2 linked regions of the Drosophila melanogaster genome follow. The protein of the gene in region 1 purifies or fractionates together with the protein of each later gene. This does not show direct contact. Each region holds a gene or a part of one and is shown on either strand. Other genes may lie near its edges. The genes, in order: Prosbeta4R2 and Prosbeta7.

Region 1 (4,403 bases):
AATGTCCTGTCAGGAAGTCGCTGCCTCGTTGCGCCCTTAAACGTCACAAATTGCCGGTCGGAACGGTGGTGGATTGGTGGGGGGGGGTCGACAATGGGGGAGTGACTCGGGGTTACATGCACATTATCAACCAGCCCCCAAAGTTGCTCCCCTACAGCATTGTGAATATATTTCACAGCTTCAGGTGGAAAAAAGGGAGACAGGTGTCCTGAGACAGGCGCGTTCATTTGAGACGCTCACATGTCAAAAGTTTTCTGCGGAAAAGTTCTCTGTGCGACAGGGAAACTTAAAGTAAAATGAGAAGCAAGCCATGAAAATAATTGATATTCGACTTTTTTACATTAGTTTTCGCATAAAATTATATTGCATGACGAGATAGATAAATGTTTTTTTTTTGTCCCATGCATAAATGCTAATTAATTTGTAATGGCATTCGTTTTACGTGCTAAGCTTGATAAGTGCTGTTCCAAAAAAATGTAATTAAAACAAACATTTAAAGTATATGGATGGTATTTACTTTTCGAAATTGATTCTCCATTAAAGCAGCGAGTAATTTAAATTGTAGTTTAGATACATTTCGGAGCCAGTTAGTTACTGCACCGAAACCGGTACCTTTGAGGTAAACGCGTTCGCTACCTTTTCTTTGTCACTGTTGACATTTCATGGTTCCGATCACCGCAAGTGGGCGATCCACTCAATTGGCGATACTTTGTCATGTGCGGCCAATTAGCAATGGCAACTGCCACGCTGGCGGACAAACAAAACCCGCTGACTAGCATAGAAATCCGGAAAAATGCAGGCATCACAGCTCGGAAAACCCTCACACTCAGACCTCTGCCAAGCAGCGAACAATTCAGTGCATTTTTGCAGCAATCTGTGCTCATTTTTATGAGTTTCGCTGGCGACTACGCTCACTCCTCCAAACCAACGACATTCTGACGGACTGCTGTTCAAATGGGAAATAGAGACATGTTGGCTTTTCTGCTTCCGATTCGCAGCCGTATGCGTTTCCTGTCTGTGAGGCATGCACTTGGAAAAATCAAGATGCATACGTTTTAAAAAAAATATTTCATACCAACATCTGACGATCTTTTGCCGGCAGACGGGACCATTTGAGTGGAATGTGCCTATATGACTATGCCTATGCAACAGAGCAGACTTATTAATGTATAAATTCTTTTTGAGTGCAGCTTCACTCATTGTTGCACAAACAAATACAGTGCCACACACATTCAGACAGATGGCTCACATGGAGAACAAGAGCAGGCCACATATGCTAATACACGGAGGCAGTCGACCATGGCATGTAGCATACCCACTCACCCACCTCCTCCTCTTCCGACTGACCACTCAAATCCAACCGGTCACGTCAACTAATCCCTGGGAAGTTGTTCGAGCATCGCAGTGAAAGTTAGCCAAAAACCAACTGCACAATTATTAGGCATTAAAGGATGCTTTATGAAGCAAAGGAGTTGCACCGAGCATGGCTTTAATGTTTTCCGCTTTACCAACTCAGGCTTATCGACTCCTTGTTTAGGGATCCTGGATTGATGGCCTCCATCTTGCGCATTCCCTTGCTGTCCACTACATACACCTCAAAGTTCCGCTGGTTGATGATCAGTCGCCTTTGGATCTCCAGGACGCACTTCTTCATCAGCGAGTAGGCATCCTCTTGGCTGAGCTTCGAGTTCCAATATCTCTGCAGAATGCTGCCACAGAACATGCTGCCCCAACCATGACCTGCATGATTGATTGACTGAGCAGCGCCATAGGAGTCGATGTAGTGGAGGTCAGGTCCCTCAACCGCATCGTATCCTGCCAGGAGCATTGCCACCTGGTATCTGGTGTTGGTCCTTATATAATCCGCCAGTGTTTTCCTGGTAAAATGGGCAGCTGACTTCGCACTTAGATGGTATCCGTGGGAAATCTTGTACAGATGCAAATTTTTGGATATGAAGTCGGTGAACTGAATGGTATCGCCACCATCACCCACCGTGGCCATCATATTGAAGTCTGATAGTCGGTGGATTTTTGATTGGTCTAAAAATTTATTGGCATTATATAAGTTCCCAATATCAGATAAACAAAAAGGGCGTGATTACCATCTTTCATGAAGACCAGCGATTTGGCCTGCATTGTATCTGATGCTAGCATCACAAAGTCTGGTCCCTTGATCCCCAAAATAGTTTCCATCGCCATGGTAACCAAAAATTTTATTAAAGTGATACACTATTGTGAATATTATGTGTTTACTTTTGAAATATTCGTGTTCGTGTTCAGTGGTAGTACTACTTGATGTAGAATGTGAGTGAAATGACTGGGCTACTAAGAACCCAGGCCATCTCGATCGGCCATCAGGGTGAAGAAGGAGTAGGCTCCCTTCCAACAGGCCACGTAGGTGCTCAGGTGGATGGGCACCAGGTTGCCGGCGAGGAGAAGCTGCATCCGCTTAGTGCGCTCCGCCAGGATGAGCATGTGCCCACGATAGCTGGCACTTTGATCCACCCAGTTGCTGCAGAATACCGCATAGTGAAGCTCAGCAAAACTCTCCTGCACCATGGTTCCATAGTAGCACAATGGATATGTCTGCACGGTGATGCCCAAGAGAAAGCAAAGATAATAGATGCGATCGTACAAGGTCTCCACGTAAAATATCAGGACAAATAGGGTGATGGCGATGTTGATGCCAATAACCATAAACTGCACCATCATGGGATACGAAACGAGACTCTTGGTCACATCGAGTAATCTAAAGGAAGATTGAGTATTAGAACTGGAAACATAGAGATAGTAGGATTACCTATACAGCGCGTTTTGATCCCTGATGCAGTTGACCAGATCCTGTTCGTTCTCCTCCAGAGTCTTGTAACCATATCCGATTTCAGAGATTCTCAGGATCAGCAATTGACATTGCTCGGAGATCAGGTACAGTACGAGCGGGGGAAACGAGTCAGCTGCAAAGCATTGCATAATTTGAAAGACATAGCCAATCTCCTGGAAAACCAGAGCTCCGATGTAGGCCACCATCGAGTTCTTCCAGTCGAAGGGAAACCACATGGGCATGGGTAAGCTTAGCTCAGTTTCGAAAACGAAGGGAACTGCAGCAATGATGAAGACTACAGCGTAGGTGATCTGGAACAGCTTGGACATCCTTAGCAGGTGCTCGGTCATATTTCTATGACGCTCAGACTGGCTCTCGCCAGAAACCCGGGCATCCAGCTGACCAATAAGACTCTGGACCTCGACCATCTTTGTTAGTTGGGCCACGTACATGCAGAACTTCATGAGATTGGACAGCGAAGTGACCGTCAGGCTCAAGCTGAAATTATTTTCCACCGGATCTTCGAAACTGTATACTCCTCTCAGTAGCATGGGTGTCGGCAGGTACACCAAGATGCACAATAGCATCGACCAACTCCAGTACCTACCCTCGCTGAGATCCAAGGCACCACAAATTCGCCAGGCATTCAACTGGACTCGAAAATAGTCGATTTTTAGGGTTTCGCTGAGCTTCATTTTGAATTCTTGGTGTCTTTCTTTTTCACTGGCATACTTTCAAAAGGACCTCGACCATTTATATCACCTTTCTGTGTCAGTTGCGCCATTAGTCAGGGGTTATTAAATCGCAAATTAAATCATTATCGAGGGGTCGCATATAATTTTCCCAAAACTTGGGAAAATGCACACCCTTTGAGTGCCATTCAGCAAAGGAGTATCTATATATCACTTAATACAGAGCTTTATATTAAATTATTTTCATTCAAATTTTATGAATCTTTGATAAGCTACAAAAAATATAAAGGGCTTCGATTATTATTTTGTGTTTAATATCCTTCGCTTGGGACCAGCTAAGATATCCCCTCTAAGGGACTCCAGGTTGATGCTATTCATCTTTGTTATGCCATTTTTGCTTATCAGGAACAAATCTATGTTGCGCAAGTTGATAACGAATCGTTTATACAGCTCAATCACACACTTTTTGATAACATCATAGGCTGCCTGCGTATCCATGTCCGGTTTGTAGAACTCCTCGAGAATGGGAGTGCAGAAGTTCATGGCGGCTCCGTGGCCACCGTACCGAACGGGAACCGAGTTACCCAAATAATCGATGTAGTGCAACTCGGGACCGCTGGTCAAATCGTATCCGCCCACCAACAGCGACACCTGGAACGTGCAATCGCTCTTCAAATAGGCGGACAAATGCCTCCGGATGAAGTGCACCGCTCCGCGAACGGTTAAGTCGTATCCGTTGGTTATCTTGTAAAGATCCATGTTCCGGAGGATGAAATCCGAGAACTTCAGGCAGTCTCCACCGTCCCCAGCGGTCGACATCATGCAGTAGTCCGAGATGCGGTGAGTCTTTCTGACCTCTACACTCATTTATAAATTATTACTATCCTCCT
Region 2 (3,922 bases), on another chromosome or scaffold:
GCCAGCCGTCAACAACCAGGAGCTCAGTGCCAGAGCCAATGTCCTCAATCGTGTGGGCCACCAGCAGGACAAGTGGAAGCGGCAGGTGCGCGAGCAGAGACGCCACATCTACGACAGGCATACCATGCTAAACTAACAAGGGGTTCGGTTTGCAGCTGGCGGAGATTAGGAGGCGCATGGGCGACTTAAGACACGTATTCCAAGCAGTTATCCTTTGCGAAATTCCCCTTTGGATCAAATTGATTATCTGTATATTTAGCCAGATTTTATGTTAATTAAAATAAACCAAAATATGTTTGTCAGGAGTGTTTGCATATTAATTAATAAGTTGAATGCCGGGAGGAATAACCAACAAATCCACTAAAATAAAACTTTTAATGATAATTGATGGTTATAATTTGGGAAAATAAGGAACGTAAGACCGTAATGGTGAGTCCAAGTTAGATTTGGAAACTCCCTTGGGCTTCTTAGTTTGACGCCTACTTTTTGATTCCATCAGTAGAGATTAACGAAAGAATAACTCGAAGATAGTTTCTATCACACAATAACCATAACTTTAAACGTATTATTTTCAGCCACATTTATTTTTAATAAATCATGTAACCACATATCCTTAGACAAGTGTTTTTTTTTAATGCAAAACCGCCGAGCTAGACCTAAACTAAGTTCATTCAGAATCGGAGGCTCTAGTATCCCTTTATGGTTTCGGCGAATGTCCAGTTTTCGTTAACTTGGAAGGGCCCCTCCACGCCGCATCCGTTGACGCTGCACACGCCCACAGTGTATTGGGAAATATTACGAGTATCGCGGTAGTAAAGCACCTCCATGCATGTGCGGATCTAGAATATAAGAAAATGGTAGGGTAGTTAAATAATGAAGAGTCCCCCCATCAGAGTTCGAAATTCCTTACCAGTTCGGAAGCTTCTACGGCGGTAAAGTCCCTGTCCTTGGGCTTCTTCTCACGGACCAGCGGAACGGCCAAATGGCGGGCAAAACCAGTGGCCACCACGTAGTCCTCGTAGGATCGTCCACGGAGATCCACGTTGGCCAGGTACGGAGTCCCCTCGTTGTCCACGCCGCCGACAACCACGTCAATGTAGAGGGGGTTCATCCGCGAACGACGGTTGTAGAGCACACGGGTCATCCAACTGGCCAAGGACTTGGGCTTCATCTCGATGTTGTCGTCGCAGCACTGGTCCTCGATCATCTTCTGGTCGATGTTGCGCTTGATGGACTGGATGTCAGCGAAGTCGCCGCTCCCGCCGAGCAGGATGTTCTTGTTGACCTTAAAGACGCGCTCAATGTTTTGGTAGCGGGCCATGGATCCGTAAGACACCAGGGTGTCGGCGGCCAGCATCACTCCTGAATCATAGCGAATGCCAAGCACGGAAGTGCCCGTGGTGCTGGAAGCACTGCGGAATAGTAAAAGGAGTGTAAACAAGTGGTACATCTGCATATAAACATATCCGCAGTTCCTACGTGCTGTGCTTGGTTCCATAGGGTCCCATTGTGGTCAGCTCCCGCGGTAGCTGCTGGACCGGCGTCTGTCCGCCCGTGAAGTTGTAGAACTCGCCGGGAGCGGGTCCGTTCTGCCACATGGGCTGCGCTAGGCTGTTGTAGTTGTTCAACATGCTAATTTATTCGGAGACTGGAATAACGCGAGACTTTGAAATGTTTGTCGCTGCCGGAGAATGACGGGCACAAATAAAATCAAGAGTCAGCGCAGTGTGAACAGACTTTAGGCGGGCGGCAATACCAGTATCGGCAACCGGTAGCTAAAAATACCAGACATACCAAAGATGAATCCACTATTAGCTTGGTCACACCGTTTTACATGTGTTAAATTAAATTAATTTGAAGTTTAATTGTGAACTTTTTAACATTTTATTAGATGTTGATGTTAAAAGTAATGTAAAACAGTTAACACCACGCTGCCTATACTGAATTTGTTTTTTTACTTTTGTCTTTATAATCCTCGTTGATAATACAAATCAAGGAGAAGAAAGATAAGAAATTAAAGAACTTTTCACTCAATTAGGATTAAGACTCATGTATACCCGTTGCTTCTACGGTATTTACTACTCCTTGAAACTAAATATATGTTTAGTTAATATATAATGACCATTTGCTTTACTTCATTTTAAGCCGTTCAATGGTCATTAAAGTATAAGAATCGAGAGCAATAAATGTAAATGACGTTTGGAAATTATCCTGGTCAATCTACAAATCCAATATCTCCCTTCTCTCCCTTCGAACACGATTCTCCATAGCTTTTTAAGCGGAATAAGGTTCTTTTGCTAAAACTTCTGCTTTTATTCATATTGGTGGGAAAAACGCACATGTTCCGGATTGTTGTTTTTGGGAACCCAACGAAGTTTTTTATCATAACATTTGATCATATAAATTAATAATAAAGAATTATAAATTTGAAGACATATAAATACATTTTTATTGCCAGTATACCAGTACACAATTTGTAAATATATAGGTATGTGCATAATGCTTCCGAGGGGAATGTTTAGGTTGCTGCCGCATCTTTCAGATGCCATAATACAGTCGATAATATCAGTTGCTTTATTGAGCTATGCTAAAAACAATGACGGGGAGACCCGCTCTTTAACACGATACATATACGAATAAGGATACCCTACGCAAAACTAAGAGCTACATGTCACGGCCAACGATTGATGCTAATTCTATGGGGTTAAAGCTTCTAGTCCTTGCAGCAGCAGTAAACATTGTCGCTAGAGCTAGCTGGGGTTGTGGGCGTGGTGCCGCCCTTGAGGGGCTTGCTGTAGGAATGGGGACCCCGCATGAAGACCTCGATGAGCTGACAATGCGATCTGCCAGATACGGAACGGTTAATAAGCGATTTATTGAAGTTAAAGGTACAACCAACTCACCGCATGGTTATGTCCAGGTCGGTCACCACCTCTCCATCACAGTTCCAGCTGGAAAACTCCGTCGAGGAGGAGTGGGCGGTCATTTCTTCAGGCGGTGTAATCGGCTGACAAGACCCTGCCAAGCTGTAGTCCTCCTCGCTGGCAGAAAAAGTTCTGAACCGGAATTCCCTTGTGCGATATACCTCTACAAAAGGCAAATTGCGCTGCAATGGGAAAATGTTTTTAAATATTTATTGTTTTCTACAAAATTTAATTGTATCCTTTTATTTTTCATTTATATTTTTACAGTAAAAGATACCATCGCATTCACTAGATAAAACATTATATTGTTGAAACTGGTCAAGTATATACTTTATATGGATGCCACCAGAGCGGCTAGTAGATCTTCGTAAAATAACCTTTCTGTCACAGATTTCCCTCGCTTCAATCCGAGCTAGATGGGGTTCGGTTTTGGGTTTTTGGCTTTTAGGATAGAAAGCACTAAGCTCAGCTTGTAGGCTTAGGGGATTTGGCAATTAAAGATGCAGTTAAAATGTTATGGAAATGTTATTTCAAAGGAAATGGACGCCTCTTATAGGAAAGGTGTTCTTTTGGATGTGAAAGTTGAATAGTTGTAATAGTTAGTACTCACAATATCACCACTTCTGCCCGCCGTGTTGAGCAGAAAACGCACGTTGTTGAGCAGTGAGGTCTTTTTCACGAGAATCAGGTCCAGGCAACCATCACCCAGATGACTGTAACGGGAGATGCCATTGGGACTCCTGGCGCAGGCGCAGGTTATGTTCGCGCCGCAGATCATAAAGAAATTGCCCCGCACAACCTTCCACTGATCGTTGCCGAGGTTCCTCATTGATGAAATGGAGCCAGTGGGCAATCGAAGATTGCCTGGACGCGGACGAGGCCTCAGGAGTGCTGCTTCACTGGCGGCTAGATGAGAGTCCTCTGTTTCTACCTGCTGATTGCGCTCTGCCTCTTTAGATTCCTCTTGGATGAACAATGAGGATCGCTGTTCCTGTATG

What was found.
Region 2: the proteins of Prosbeta4R2 (region 1) and Prosbeta7 purify together in Drosophila melanogaster (affinity purification with mass spectrometry, with the first as the bait; one large-scale study listed by BioGRID). This does not show direct contact.

The regions. Positions count from the first base shown.
Region 1 is NT_033779.5:2,653,256-2,657,658, reverse strand, and holds Prosbeta4R2 (proteasome beta4 subunit-related 2), read right to left. Parts: upstream 2,266-4,403; 5' UTR 2,200-2,265; coding exon 2,103-2,199; intron 2,041-2,102; coding exon 1,505-2,040; 3' UTR 557-1,504; downstream 1-556. Other genes in the region: Or23a (odorant receptor 23a), read right to left, coding at 2,326-2,749, 2,801-3,516; Prosbeta4R1 (proteasome beta4 subunit-related 1), read right to left, coding at 3,814-4,370.
Region 2 is NT_033777.3:5,356,445-5,360,366, forward strand, and holds Prosbeta7 (proteasome beta7 subunit), read right to left. Parts: upstream 1,921-3,922; 5' UTR 1,632-1,920; coding exon 1,480-1,631; intron 1,413-1,479; coding exon 911-1,412; intron 840-910; coding exon 687-839; 3' UTR 568-686; downstream 1-567. Other genes in the region: CG1161 (uncharacterized protein), read left to right, coding at 1-136; Cerk (ceramide kinase), read right to left, coding at 2,714-2,843, 2,904-3,106, 3,535-3,922. UniProt on the Drosophila melanogaster protein: Non-catalytic component of the proteasome, a multicatalytic proteinase complex which is characterized by its ability to cleave peptides with Arg, Phe, Tyr, Leu, and Glu adjacent to the leaving group at neutral or slightly basic pH.